2 linked regions of the Diceros bicornis minor genome follow. The protein of the gene in region 1 interacts with the protein of each later gene in a pairwise test. Links are inferred from orthologs where the notes say so. Each region holds a gene or a part of one and is shown in the gene's direction. Other genes may lie near its edges.

The links. The genes of interacting proteins can lie anywhere in the genome.
Region 2: the proteins of HSD17B14 (region 1) and SREK1IP1 interact in binary tests that used the Homo sapiens proteins (3 or more experiments, as listed by UniProt). The two-hybrid records come from large-scale screens. The link is inferred for Diceros bicornis minor from reciprocal best matches to the Homo sapiens genes HSD17B14 and SREK1IP1.

Annotation. Positions count from the first base shown.
Region 1 is NC_080773.1:24,435,754-24,443,591, reverse strand, and holds the start of HSD17B14 (17-beta-hydroxysteroid dehydrogenase 14), read left to right. Parts: upstream 1-4,792; 5' UTR 4,793-4,877; coding exon 4,878-4,965; intron 4,966-5,445; coding exon 5,446-5,484; intron 5,485-5,701; coding exon 5,702-5,784; intron 5,785-6,389; coding exon 6,390-6,456; intron 6,457-7,838. Other genes in the region: PLEKHA4 (pleckstrin homology domain-containing family A member 4), read left to right, coding at 2,132-2,293, 3,206-3,264, 3,686-3,798, 4,107-4,369. UniProt on the Homo sapiens protein: Catalyzes the NAD(+)-dependent oxidation of L-fucose, yielding L-fucono-1,5-lactone, which rapidly converts spontaneously to L-fucone-1,4-lactone. Can also act on D-arabinose and L-galactose, with lower catalytic efficiency. Does not use NADPH.
Region 2 is NC_080759.1:12,124,676-12,131,814, forward strand, and holds the start of SREK1IP1 (protein SREK1IP1), read left to right. Parts: upstream 1-4,056; 5' UTR 4,057-4,203; coding exon 4,204-4,216; intron 4,217-7,139. Other genes in the region: spliceosome-associated protein CWC27 homolog, read right to left, coding at 3,537-3,578. UniProt on the Homo sapiens protein: Possible splicing regulator involved in the control of cellular survival.

The DNA of each region.
Region 1 (7,838 bases):
CGTGTCACTCAAGATTGGCCAAATTAGAGTAAACCAGAGTAATCTGCTGGGATTGGACCTACAATGAGCAGCTGATCCAAGCTGGCTCCATAGAATTTTCTAGTTGGAGACTGCAGCTAAGAGTTCTCTTCCCTCTGATTTTTTTTTTTTTTTTTTGCTTAATCAACAAATTTATTGTCTTTCGAAGTTCCATAGGCTAGAAATCCAAAACCAAAGTGTCGGCAGCGGCATGCTCCTTCTGAAGGCTCTAGGGAAGGATCTGTTCCAGGCTTCTGGTATTCCCTTGACTAGTGGAAGCATAACTCCATTCGTCATGTGGTGTCCTCCCTGTGTACATGTCTGTGTCCAAATTGCCCCCTTTCCTGAAGGATAACAGATGTGTGCAGCCAGATAGCCCTATCGGCCCGTTTCCTGCCTGTAGCATCCTAGAAATCTGACAGCCTTCCTTCATTTCGTCCCCTGTCTGTCCCCTTCAGTTCAAGCTGGCAGCATTTCTGCTGAGATGATTTATAGGATCCACATGTCACATGCCTAATCTCTTAGCAAACAGGTTGTCCAGCCACACCCTTGGCGTTCTTTCCAGAGCATTCTCTCTCATTTTTTGCAATCTGGATAGGCTGAGAATTTTCCAAATCTTCAAGTTCTGGTTTCCTTTTGGTGAACGATATTTTCTTTGATTTATCTTTGTCCTCCTTCGTTTTAAGTGCTTAAGGCTAGAAGTCCATGATCTGGGTGTCAGCAGGGCCATACTCCCTCTGAAGGTGCCAGGGAAGGATCTGTTCTGGGCCTTTCTCCTGGCTTCCGGTAGTTCCCTGGCTTGTGGCAGCAAAGCTCCAATTGTCACAGGGTGTTCCTCCTGGGTGTGTCTTCTCTCGGGTTTTGAGGGCAAGACAGAGCTCATCAAGTCCTCTCTCAGGCCAACCCAAACTGATCCTCTCAACAGTTTAGTTACTACATCTCATTCCTCCTTTTGTTGTTAAAATTGTCTTTCATCACACGTGTGGGGGAAGGAGAACTATTCCTCTACCCTCTAGGTCCTTCTGGCTCATCTAAGAATTAAACTGATGTGAGACAGAATAACAGGAGAAAACCAAACAAAGTTTAATAACATGAATACGTGGCAGAAACCCAGGAAAACTGAGTAACTTGCCAAAATGAGGGAACCACTACCTTAAATACCATTTTCAGCTAAGGACAAAGGAGGATGTTGGGGGTAGTGGTTTGGGACCTCAAAGGGGAAGAAGGCAATTTACATGGAGATGGAAAGGCAAATGTTTGGTAAACAAATGTTTGCTGGGCCATCTATAGACAATGAGACCCAAGGGAGAGAACTTTGATAAAAATGGGCTTAGCAAGGACCCTCCCAGTCTACCATACCCAGAGTTATCTGTGGTCGTGGCCTGTCCTGGGACAGGCCTTCCTTTTTTAGGCAGTTAGGGGAAAGTCATAGTTTCGTTTTGAGTCTTTTTTTATTAAAAAATAATCAAGCCAGCGGGTAGAGTTTGAGTTTGAGCGCTCTGCTTTGGTGGCCTGGGTTTTGCAGGTTTGGATCCCTGGGGGCAGACCTACGCGGCTTGTCAAGCCATGCTGTGGCAGCGTCCCATATAAAGTAGAGGAGGATGGGCACAGATGTTAGCCCAGGGCCAATCTTCCTCAGCAAAAACAAAAAAACAAAAAAAGAGGAGGATTGGCAACAGATGTTAGCTCAGGGCTAATCTTCCTCAAAAAAAAAAAATAATCAAGCCAAAGAGACACATTTTGGCATCGCAAATTCTGATCCCCAACACAAGCAACCCAGGGTCCTGACTACTAGTGTGAAGAAGCTTCATATATCTAGGGGAGTGTGGGTGTTTGTTAGGCTGGGGCTTTGGGTTCAAATAGGGTGGCTGATGGGGTTGAGGCCTGAGAGGTGGGTAGGGAATAGGCCACACAGGACCTCAAACACCGTAGTCCTGAGGGTGCTTGATGGCCGTAAGAGGATGAGAGCAGCATAATTCTGGGTGCAGAAAGATTCCTCTGAGGTCCAGTGGAGAACTTTCTAGAGAGGGCAAGACTGGAGACAGAGAGGTTCAGGGAAGAGATAACGTGGAGGCCCAAGGTTGGGGTCTCGAGGTGTTTCTCATCTCCCCAGGCTCCCGTGCCCCGGCCGCGGATGAGTGCTCAGGAGCAGTTGGAGAGGATACGCAGAAACCAGGAGTGTGGACGGCCGCTCCCTCGCCCGGCTTCCCCTCGGCTCCTCACCCTGAGGAGGACACTGTCCCCAGCCAGACGCCAGCCTGACACGGAACAAAGGGTGAGGGGAACTAGGGGTGCGAGGTGGGGCGATGGGGTGGTAGCGGGTCTTCTGCTCCTAGTTAGAGCCTCAGTTTCCCTCTCTGTAAAATGGGGATGTTCCCTACTTCCTTACCCAGAACTGGGTTTCCAGATTTGCCCCAACTTTTACTTGAGCTGAAATCAGCACTCTGGCTCCCCTAGCCGTGGGGAATGGAAGTGGGGTGTGGTAGGGGGTGGGGCAGAGACAACATCTCCACCTCATCAGCATTCTCCCTTCAGCGTGGAGGTCATAGGTCTGGACTGGAAGCCCAGTGTTATCAAAGGCAAAAATAATTTTTTTTGAGCAAGTAAGGAAATCGATTTTATTCATGCTATTGCAGTGGGGGAGAGCACCCCAGATCTTAAGATCAGAGTGTCTTGGTGGGATGGTTTCATCTTAGACTTTTCTAGGAAGGAATTAGACAAATCATAGGTGGGGTGATTCAAGATTGGGATTGTTTTTGTAATCGGGGGGCGTCTCTGTCAGCTGAACACCAACCGTTTATCTCTGTGTCTACCTAGTTTTGGGGAGACAAACAGTTCAGCTAATCATTTGTGAGGTAGAGAATGTGAGTTTGGAGGGCCTGTTTCTGGCCTTGTCATAGGTAAACAAGGGGTGCGGGGTGTCATCTGAGTCTTATCTAAGACATATGGAGAAGAAGGGTTCTTGTAGTAAGCCGTTTCCCAGAACACACAAGCTTGCGTGTGTGTTGGGGAGTGGAGGGGTGGGGCGGGATCTTAACCTGTTTTCCAGGAGCGCATGTAAAGTTACACATTGTCAGTGTCTCCGGGGGCAATTTTATCCCCTCTCTGAGCCCCCTTCATTTCACCCTCAAAATGAGAACGTGGGGACTTCCAAGTGAGGAATTCTAATGCCCCAATTCCTTTGCAGCCTGTCCCAGGACACTCAGGAGCCCCGAAATGGCTCAGAAGCTCCGGGTCCTGGAGCAGGTAGGGAACAGGAGGGCGCGGCCAGGAGCAGGGAAATCCATTTGCCAAAGGGGAAGGGAATAGTAGCACTATTATTAATGTCTCCTGAGTACTGAAGTGCAGGTCGCAGAACCTGTTGGAGACGCTTGAGTTCCTGGGCCATCAGAAAGCCCTAGATCCGCAGTGAGAACTGCAGTTTCCAAAACTGCAAAACTGGGTAGATATCACACTCCGCTCCTCCGTCTGGAAAACCGGTGAAGTCTAAGAGCGACTGGACTACAAATCCCATAATGCACGCGTGCTTTTTATGAGGGCCGCGCCATGTTTAAAGACCTTTAGAGACACGTGCTAGGGACTACAACTCCCAGAAGGACACGCGCAGCACGGAGGTCCTCTCTGTACTGGATAATTGTATACGTCCCCCAAATCTCTTTTTTTCTAGTCCAAGGAACACCACCCCTTATTTGCCAACATCCGAAGGTCACCGGGAGCGAGTCCTCAGCCTCTCTCAAGCCCTGGCTACTGAGGCATCGCAGTGGCACAGAATGATGATAGGTGAGGAGGGGCTGGGGACTTTGGGCTCCTGGGTTTTAGAGAAGAGGGAGCCAGAGGCCTGGAATCCTAGGTCCTGGTGGGGAGGGGTCTGAGGGCGGCTGGGAATCCTTTGTCTTGATGAGGAAAGAGCTAGACGGGGCTTGGAAATTCTAGATCCCAGGCGGGAGGAGATCGGGATCTAGGGCTACTGGGTCTGGAGGAGGGTACTGAGAGGTCGGGACTCCTGGGTCTGAAGGAGGAAAAGTCTGGGGGTCTGGACTCCCGAATCCCAAGGTTTGCCATTCTCATTCCCCAATCGTCCTCTCCAGGGGGAAATTTGGACTCCCGAGGAGACCCTGTTCCCCCTGCGCCGCCGCCTCCGTCAGACCCCACGCCCCAGGTGTCCTCGGCCCCAAGATCTCCTCCACTGGCCAATTCCCGCTCCACCGGGTTCTCCCGCCGAGGTAGTGGGCGCGGCGCAGGCCCCGCCTCCTGGGAGTCCTCGTGGGATCCTGGGGCCGCCCCTCCCGCCCTGACGCAAGATGAGGGGGCGTGGCCTCTGCGAGTTACTCTGCTGCAGTCCAGCTTCTGACACGCCCAAACGCGGCAGCCAATCGGAGCGTGGGGGCGTGGCCTGGATGTACCGCCCCGAGATCTGGAGCCACTCAGGGCACCGGGGGGCGTGATCTAGTCCCCTCCGGTGGCCTGCCGGCGAGTGGTTTCGGTGGCCAGAGTTTGGTTTTCCCAACACTTGTCCAAATTCGGATTAAAACTTTGAACTTTTAGTCAATAGCTTTCTTTGTGTCTGTTGTGGGGTCTCTGAGGGGCGGAGCTGGAGTCTGGACTCCTGGGTCCCGAGGGAGGAAGGGACAGGGACCTCAGACTTGTAGATCTGAGGAAGGAGGGGCTGGAGACCTAGATTCCCGGGTCTGAGGGAGGAGGGGCTGGGGCCAAACTTCCAGGCTTCTGGTCTTTCTGGCAACGCCCCCCAGGGCCGGGCTTCCAGGATCCAGCCTCTATTTATGGTTCGGCCTCCCGGGACTTGGGAGGTGGAAAGAGGGGCAGAGTGAGTGACAGTGGGAGACACGGACTGAGGCAGAATGGCCACGGGAACGCGCTATGCCGGGAAGGTGGTCGTTGTAACCGGGGGCGGGCGCGGCATCGGAGCCGGGATCGTGCGATCGTTCGGTGAGAGGGGTCTGGCTGCTCGAAATATTGGAGTCTGGGAGAGGAGGGACCCCGTGGGCTAATGGATGTGGGAAGAAGGGTCTTCAGTACCGGAGTCAAGATTCTTATCGTATAAAAGCCAATTGTAATGCTAACGAAGGGATTGGCAGGGGTAGCCTAGGGCCTGAGGTCTTGGCGTGTCACCCAAACGCTGTTACTTCCTTTCTGAGTTTCAGTTATAGCTACAAAAGGGGTGAATGGCTCTTGCAGGTTTAGAATTTGCTCTGGATCCCAGGGGTGGGGGCTCGGGAGCCGCAGCAGGCACCTGGAGCAGCCAAGAAGAATATGTGTCAAGGCCTCTGCCCTTTGACCTAGGGGATCATCACGAGACTTTGGGGTCAGAGGGAGCAGGGAGGGAGATAGTCCCCACTCCAGGTGGCCACAAGAGGGCAGCAGAGGCTTCGCCAAGGTCTGTGCTGGGGTAACCTGTTCTGTTCTCAGTGCAAAGCGGGGCCCAAGTGATTATCTGCGACAAAGATGGTAAGTGTTGGTCCCTCACCCCCAGCCCCTCCTCCCCGAGACCCGGGAGTCCGGACCCCTAGCCCCTTCTCCCCCAGCACCGGGAGTCCGGGCCCCTCAGACCCAGGAGTCGGGGAGGCCCCCAACTCCCTCTTCCCCCAGACCCGGGAGTCCGGGCCCCCAGCCCCCTCCTTCCGATCTGGGAGTCCGGACCCCCAGCCCTTCTCTCTCTCTGCAGAGTCTGGGGGCCGGGCCCTGGAGCGGGAGCTTCCTGGAACTGTCTTTCTCCTCTGTGACGTGACTCAGGAGGAAGACATAAGGGTGAGTATTTTTCGGTCCCTACTCCGGATCTCCAGCAGTTTCTCTCTCTCTCTCTCTCTCTCTCTCTCTCTCTCTCTCTCTCTCTCTCTCTCTCTCTCTCTCTCTCTCTCGTTTCTCTTCTAGGCTTTTGCACATGCTGTTCCCTCTACCTTTCCCTCTTCTCCTGGCTAAATTGTACTGGGACCAGCTCAGTATTGTTTCAAGGCTCTCCTTGATTCTGCTGGCCAGGTCCTGTGTCTCCTGGGAAAGTTCTCCTTTATCTCCTACTTCTTCAAGACTCTTGCCACTCTGTCGTGAGGATTAGAACAAAAAAATCTATCACAGCGGGTCTCCTCCTGTAAGAGTTTTCCCTCGCCCATCTCAGGGTTTCTGTCCCTTCCCTTCAATCAGTGTCGATCTAGTATCTAGCCCCCACCTTCCCCGGCTCCCTGTCTCCTCTTCTCCTGCCATGCCTGGTGATTTGTGGGGAGGGTCCCTCACTTCCTCCAGCTCCTGTTCCCTCAACTGTGACTCCAGCGTCCACCTCCACGCCTTGCTTTTGGGCGCCCGGGCTCCCCAAGGCCCGGGGCCAACACTGCTCCCTCACGACCCGTCTTTCTCCTCAGACCCTCATCTCTGAGACCATCCGCCGTTTTGGCCGCTTGGATTGTGTGGTCAACAACGCCGGCTACCGTGAGTTGTGAAGCCTGAGGGCCCTTCCCACTGAGGTCCACACGCCTCCTGGCTTCCCCCGCCTTCCTCCCTTGCCTCAGTTTCCCTGTCTCTGCCCCCTCCCCCTCTGTCCCCTTAGACAGGACAGGACTGCTATGGAATCCTCCATGCCTGGGCTTAAATCCCGGCTCTGTCCGTTCCCTGCTGTGTGCCCCCAGACCTGTGCCCTCACCTCACTGTGCCTCAGTTTCTGCATCTTTAAAATGGGAATGACCATGATCATCATATAGGGTTGTTGTGGATACTGAATAAGGGAAACTACTCAGCATTGTCAACACAAATAATCAATAATCAATCTATAAATCAAGATTGGGGTGAGTTGATTACATGAGCTAATCTGAGGACCATATAGCCTGGGAGGAAACCTTCCCCAAGGAAGGAAGCCCTCCGAAGCATCGGGGTGTACAGTGTAGTTATATACTGACTTGGAACAAGGAACAGACGCCACGTATAACAGGAATATCTCTTTTACTACAGTCACGAGATGTTTTGCTAGCATGGCAGGTCCCTGTGACCTTAGTTTCTGGAAGGAAATACTTATCTTTAAAGAAATGCTGATGTGGGGGGAGGCCTACATCCCTATCTTTAAAGGCAGCGTTCTTTGCTTGGGACGTTGTAAACGTTTAAAACAGATGCACAATGCATGTTCGACAGGGCACACCAGACCATTCTGGAAAAACAAAGTCAGGCCGAATTAGTTTTAAACCAAATGGCTTCCTCATATCCCTCAATATGTATGTACTTTCCGTATTGCTTTTCATTTATTCATCAGCTGCATAATTATCGTACAATCTCGGGCAAACAGCTTCCATCTTGTAGCCTCACTTTGCTTATCTGTGAAGCGAGGCCATGGCCCTTCTCTTTGCCGATGGCTGTGAAGATGTCCTCACGGTGCATGGTTTATAGGGCTTGGTGTGGTGGCTTCCAGGGGAAATTGCCATCAGCTTGATGACGGCCCTTCATAAGAATGTCTCATGGTGGTGAACTGAGGCTCAGAGAGGTGAACTGATTGCATGGAGGTCACACAGCAAGGCCGTGGTAGAAAGAAGCCTGCTTTGTTGGCTGGGCAACTTTGAGCAAGTGGCTCACCCTCTCTGGGCTGCATGTTTTAAAAAATTATTTTATTGGGGTGGCCCCGTGGCTTAGCAGTTAAGTGCGCGCGCTCTGCTACTGGCGGCCCCAGTTCAGATCCCGGGCGCGCACAGACGCACCGCTTCTCCGGCCATGCTGAGGCCACGTCCCACATACAGCAACTAGAAGGATGTGCAACTATGACATACAACTATCTACTGGGGCTTTGGGGGAAAAAATAAATAAAATAAAATAAAATTTAAAAATAAAAA
Region 2 (7,139 bases), on another chromosome or scaffold:
TTTTTTATAACAGCTTTATTGAGATATAATTCACATACCAAACAATTTACCCTTTTAAAGTGGTTTTTAATATAATCCAGAGAGTTATGTAACCACCACCACCATCTAATTCCAGAACATTTCATCATCCCAAAAAGAAACCCTGTACCTATTGGCAGCCACTCCCTATTTCCTCCTACTCTTATTCCCTGGCAACCACTAATCTACTTTCTGTCTCTATGGATTTGCCCACTGAACATTTCATAAAAATGAAATCATACAACGTGTAGCCTTTTGTGGCTGGCTTCTTTCACTTAGCATAATGTTGCTTTCAAATTGTAGTGGTCCATCTTCCTGTTCTATACACTTAGTTTCTAAATGTCTTGAAAATCACAATGGCTTTATATTCTTACTGATAAATATGTTAAAGCACAATATACATTTAAGACAATGTTCACCATTAACAATAATAAATAGAAATCCATATTTCAAAAGATTTACATAACAATTTCTAATTTTTGACAGACTTCTCATGCTGAGGCATTAGCTCTACCATTTTCTTATGGTTTGCTTTTATTTACATTATTATCTTCAATACGAAACTTGTGAGGGCTGGTTTAGTTAATCTAGATACCAAGAAATGTAAATCCACTTAGCAAAGAATTAGGAAAAAATACTTCATGATATATAAAAAGTGATTGAACGAGTAACTGAATTTATATGTTCCTTTTTACGTATAAAATATTGCATTTAAACAAATAAAGGAGAAAATAAATACAAACAGAAGTAACTGAATTTATATGTTCCTTTTTACGTATAAAATATTGCACTTAAACAAATAAAGGAGAAAATAAATACAAACAGAAGTAAGTAGATTTTCTGCCTGCACTCCATGGATGGTTTTGCAGCCCTCTTAAGTGTGCACTCACTCATTTAGAAACCACTGTCCTAAAGAACAATCTACTGCACATCAGCCCTCCCTCTTCAGATTCTGGAGTCAGGCTGCCCAAAATCAAATACTGACCATTCCACTTACGAAGGTAAGATTAGCTTCGTTACCTTGGGTGTGATATCTAACATTTCTGTGACTCAACTTCCTTATCTAAAAACAGGCATAAGCATATTCTCATAGGTTTGTTGCAAGGCCAAAATGAGTTATTATATATATGTAGACCACTTAGAACAGTACCTGACAAATAGGAAATGCTCAAAAAATGGTAGCTAGTATTGTTGTAATTATTATTCTCATACAATGTTTTTGGCCACAGCAAACTTACATCCAGTAAAAAGAATGCATACATGGTTGGGCCACCTTGTTTACCAGGGTTTCTTAATCTTTCCACCAAGAAGCTACTGAATTAAAAAAGAAGGCACACAGCTCCCTCCTTTCACCATCACTACTTTGTCAGGCGTCGGTGGCTCCTTTTCTTAGAGCTCCCAAATAAGACAATACTTTGATAATAAAATGCTTCTTAAGAATAAACACATGTTAATATATAATTTAGATTAAATGATCATAATATGTGGAGATTTCATCTCCAGTGGATAAGGAAATTTCTATCAAGTGGTATATTTCTGTGCCTCATCTTCAGAGGCCAGAGTTATAGCATTACAGCAAAACACAGCACATTTATGGACAATTGCCAGGGGTCAACCACTGGTATAATACGTCAATTACTTCCCAAGTTGACACTATACTCTTTGAAGGGAGGAATTTTGTCCCATTTATTCTGAATATCTCTGTATCCTTTCAGTACCTAACGTAGCATTAGACACCACAGGTACTAAACTAACATTCATTGAGCAAGCTTATTATATCTGTATTAAATTCATTCCAGGCCAAAATTCTTGCCATACTCTCTATAGTACAGAACTTTGAAGCTTCAATGTCTTCAATCACCCCTCAGCTGGAAAAAAGTCCCAAACTGTGCTTGAAGGAAAATTTGGCCTATGTTCTCCTTCAGCCCAATTCTGTTTAGAAGAAAGACTGTATTGATCACAGTTTGCACAGACTTATTTGCATGATTATTCGGTCAATGTATACTTCACTCAACTGACTCCATGATAATAGAGACAATGCTGGTTTTTCTTTCCATTGTATCCCTAAAACCTAGCATAGATCCACATGAGCTAGGCGCTCAATAAATACTTGTTGAATGAAAGATCTCCTGTTCAGGCATGTATCTTTGTTAAAGCTTTTTATCTTTATGACCACCTCAAATCTTCCTCCAGAGTAAAGCAACTAAGTCTGCCCTTGACCAGCAGCAGTATAACCCCAAAGTCACTGATGTTTAATACTTCTCAAAAGTTAAGAGAAACATAGTATTAATTCATCCATTCATCCATTCATCCAGTACATATCTGAACTCCTTCTACTATGTATCAAGCACCCTTCTAGATGCTGGTCTCTGCCCTCACAGTACTTGCATTTTATGGGGGCAGGTGGAGGAGACAATAAACAATCAATAATAAGTACTGCAGAAAAAAACTAAAAGGGTTTAGGGAGCCAGGGAATGCTGGGATGCAGGAGATGAATGAGGTTTGCTATTTCATAGAAAGTAGATAGAAAAGGCCAGGGCCGGCCCCATGGCTTAGCAGTTAAGTGCGTGAGCTCTGCTGCTGGCAGCCGGAGTTTGGATCCGGGCGCGCGCCGCTTGTCAGGCCATGCTGCGAAGGCATCCCACATAAAGTGGAGGAAGATGGGCACGGATGTTAGCTCAGGGCCAGTCTTCCTCAGCAAAAAGCAGAGGATTGGCATGGATGTTAGCTCAGGGCTGATCTTCCTCACAAAAAAAAAAAAAAAAAGAATTCAGGTGATATTCCTTCCACTACTTAGTTCTCTGCCTCATACTGCATATAAAACACCTGGGATGGGAATTGACATAGCTTGACTGTCAAATCAATCAGGAAATCATTCTAATGTGGGAACATTTCCCATTCCCCATTTTCTCTAACAATCATCTCATGTTTTAAGACCAGCTCAAAAGATACCTCCTCCATGAAGTTTTCCCTACTTTCCCAGCTGCTCACTTCTCCGTAATAGCACAGCAATGTGCTCCTCTCTCCATAAGCACACCTACCAGACATATCCTAAGGCTTTTCTTTACCTGCCTGCCTCCCAACTAAACCATAAGCTCTTCTAGGGCAACAACTAGACCTTATCCATCTATATTTGTATCCCCAGAACCTAATAAGTGCCCGGTGCCTAGCTGGCGTTCAATAAACGGAGAAAGAGCCATCTCTAAGTTATGCGAAAAATGTCAAATTTTAATTTGTACTTAGGTTTTTACCTAAGACTCTAGAAAACACCTGCATGAGTTAGGTTAAAGCAAGAAATAGGGCCAGAAGGCTGGTAGATGGAGAAATCAATCTTCCCTTGAGGACTTTTTCAAGTATATGCTGAGAAGTGCCAATAGATGGTTTCCAGGCAATCCTGTTCAGAGGCAGGGGTAAAAACAAGACTTCTTGTGATCTCTCACAACCCTAAGATCCCAGGACTCCCTTCGTCAGTGAGGTATCACTTTGGGGAGCCCAGGTATCCCAGACGAGGCTCTCACCTTCCCGTTGGTGGGAGGCTCCTGGATGTAGATGTTGCTCATGCTGGTCAGTCCTCAAGACTCTGCTCTCAATTGGGGATGAGAGCGGACGGCCGATCACTAAAGCTGTCCACCTATTAGTACAGGCTTCCTTAAGTCGGGTGGTCGCGGAAAGCTCCAGTCTGTCAATATCCTGCAAGACAGCGACGCCAAACGCTATCTTTTCCCTAAGCTAGCTCCTCACGGGCGCCGCCATGTTGTTCCCGGACCCGAGCACCGCTAACCCTGAGAAGGGGGATTCTGATAGCCTCCAAGAAAGGAGAAAAGATTATTAAGCCGCTGTAGATTAATTTAATTTCTATTACAATTTTAAAAAGAACGATCCGTTAAGTCTTGGTGTTGTTTACTTCACTACATGCGTGTGCAGGTCTCATTCACCTCCCGAAGCTGGCAGTAATGGTTCGGACCGTGAGTGAGCTGCAATATGCGTCCCCCGGAAGCTGGATCAGTGGTTACTTGGTTCCGCTATCGCCAGAGAATTATAGGGGCCCCCCCCCGAACTGTCATCTAGGAGCCGCGGCGCGGGTGGGAGGAAGAGGCCGCCCTAGCTGTGCGTTGTCCTCACGGCCGGCGGGAAGCGAGCGCGCTCTCGAAATCCTAGGGCTCCTGCGACCCCTTTCACAGCGCCATGGCAGTCCCAGGTGACGAGCAACGGCAGGCCCCGGGGTCTGGGCGAGGAAGGGAGAGGGCAGGGTAGGTTGGGGCGCGCTGGACCAGGGAGTGGCGCCCATGGGGATTTAAGCGGAGGCGTTAAAATTAACAGGTTCGTGTGGTTTACGTGAAAAAGTTTACACTCCGGAAATAAACGCGGAAGGAAAGAAAGAAACGATCTCCCCTGCGCCAGCCAAGCTCCAGTTGCGCTGGATGGCTTACGGGGCCGGTGCGTCGTGGCGGAGGGAGGGTGGCATGGGGAGGAGAGGGGGACGGTAACCGTAGGCCCAGGGGCCGGTGGCTGAGAAAGACCGACCCCAGCGGCCAGAGGCATTGTTTGTAGTGCAAGTCGCAGGGACGAGATGGGCGCCTGGGGTTCTTCTCTCTCTGCTTGTTGCATTCAGTTGCTGTGTGGCCGTGGGCCGGTCGCTTTGCCCTTCTTGGCCTCAGTGTCTGCATCTGTAAACGGAGATTTGTTGATTTATGTCTCTGGTTCCTTCCAGCTCTCAGATTCTGGGTCCAGTCGGTACTGACTTAAAAACAGTGAACCCTGCGAAATAAGTGCCTGAGAGATTTCCCGTCCACAGCAACCGGCTTACTTGGAAGTTCTAGAAGGGGAGGGCATCTCCTTAAACCAGCTTTGCCGCGATGTGTTCTGCAGAACACTGGTTGCAGGAGATAGTTTGAGAAATATACACCCCCCTCATTTACTGCCCCCCCAATCTTGTTTTAACCTGCCCTTCCCGGTATTATTTGAGCATGTTTGTTCTGTGGCAGCCTTTTCTGAACCGTATTTTACAGATAGCTGTTATGGGAGGGTTGTGCTTTTCTACCAACTGCAGTTTGGGGAGGAGCACGGGGGTGGGGGGGAATTGTGAGAGAGGAAAGACACACTCATTCATACACATAACAATCTGTGTTAAGTGCCTACTGTGTGCTAGGCATTGGGAATACAGTGGTGAGCAAGACACTTGCTCTTCACAGAGAATTTACAATTTGGCTGTAAGGAGAAAGTACTAGAAAGTCAGACAAGTGTATGGTAGGGAAAATACAAAGCTTTCAGGAGCACATAGTAAGAGCATCTAACAGGAGACAGGGAGTGCACAGAAGGACTTTCCAAAGGATGTGGCATTTAGGATGAGACTTGAAGAATGCAGGAGGGGTGGAGTGGTAGGAGGGGAAGTTGCAGCCAGAGGGACTAGATACATAAAGGAAGAAGAAATGTGTGAGAAGAGGAAATGAAGATGTTCCTATGCATGGAACTCAGAGTACAAATGGGAGAGAAGTGAGACATTAACTAGAGAGATGATAACAGTAGCTAATATTTACTAAACATTTACTATGTGTCAGATCTGTCAGATACTGTGTCATGCATTGTATTTCATCTAGTTTAATATGCACACCCACACTGTGAGATAGATATTAATATTTCCATCTTACAGTGAGGATACTGAGCCTCAGAGAAATCAAGTAACTTGCCTATTGATACAGCTAGTAAGTAACAGATCAGTCTGGCTCCTCTAGACCCCACGTGCTTATCCATTTTGCCCTGTTATAGTGTCATTTACATGGTAGTTTCCAGCTCTTAATGGACCTTGTAAGCCATAACAAAGAGTTTGGTCATTTTCCTAAGGACCAGGGGAAGTCATTTAAGGTTTTTAAACAGATTCACATTTTGGAAAGATCATTCTGGCTGCACAGTAGGTTGGAGGGGAGCTAGTTTGGATGCACAGTCACCAGTTAGGAGTAATTCTGGTAAGTTACAATGATACCTCAGGTACAGTCTTAGGAAGAAAGAAGCAGATAGACTGGAGATATATTTTTGGTGGTAGAATCACTAGGAATCGGTGGTGATGTAGTCAATGTAGGTGAGTACTAGAGGAATGAGGTATTACCTGGGTTTCATTGTTAGGCAATTAGGTGGGGCTATTTACTAACATAGGCAACACCTGAGAAAGAGCAGGTTTCGGCATGATGATGATTTCAGTTTGCGCCTTGTGTTGAGGTATAGTCAGACATACTAATGGAAATATCTAATAGACAATAAGGGATAAAATTTGTAGCTTAGGAAAGAAGCCCGAGTCAAAGAACAATTTGGTGTCATCCACACATATAATAGGAGTTAAGTCCATGGGAGTGGATGCCTTTGCTCAGGTAGAGTGTGTAGAGGGTGAAGGGAAGGTCTGTGGCTGAAGCCTGGAGAATATCAACATGGAAACGGCCAGCAGGGAAAGGCCAGTCTGCACAGTAGATTGCCAGATCAGCCCTGGTGATCTTTGCCTCACACAGCTGCGTCCGAAGTTGACCTGCTGTCACTGTTGGTTTCATGACTTAAGCATTTTGAGCACCTACATGGTATAGGCACTTTCGGGGACACAATGTCATGGTCTGTGCCCTCATAAAACTTGTCTGCTAATGAAAATGTGCTGCTTAAGAAAAAGGACAAAAGTGATTTTTTTGTCCTTATTGAAATTCCCTTAAACTTAGACCAGTGTTATAGTTATGTTAACTTTCTTTCAATTCAAAATAATGCTTCAAAGTATAATAATATTAAATTGTGCCATTAAGCTAGATGGCCAGACATAGATAAACTGTTTAAACCCAGCAAAAATTGAGATAATAGGTATGACAGCGCTGTAAAAGTACAATGCGAGTGCCATTAGAAAATATAGATATGGAAAATATCAAGACAATTTCTTGAGTGATCGATCCAGACAGTGTATTAAAGGAAAATGGGGCTCCATCAGAAACATTTTGAGATAATCATCAAAAAGGACAAGTATTATGTTATGCTCTTTTATTTTTAGGTATAATGCTCATATGGATTCATCATGGCATTTTGTGGGTGGTCCTGCTGGTGATTATTACAAGGAACAACTGTAAAGTAATGAGGCTGCTTTCCACAAATGGGAA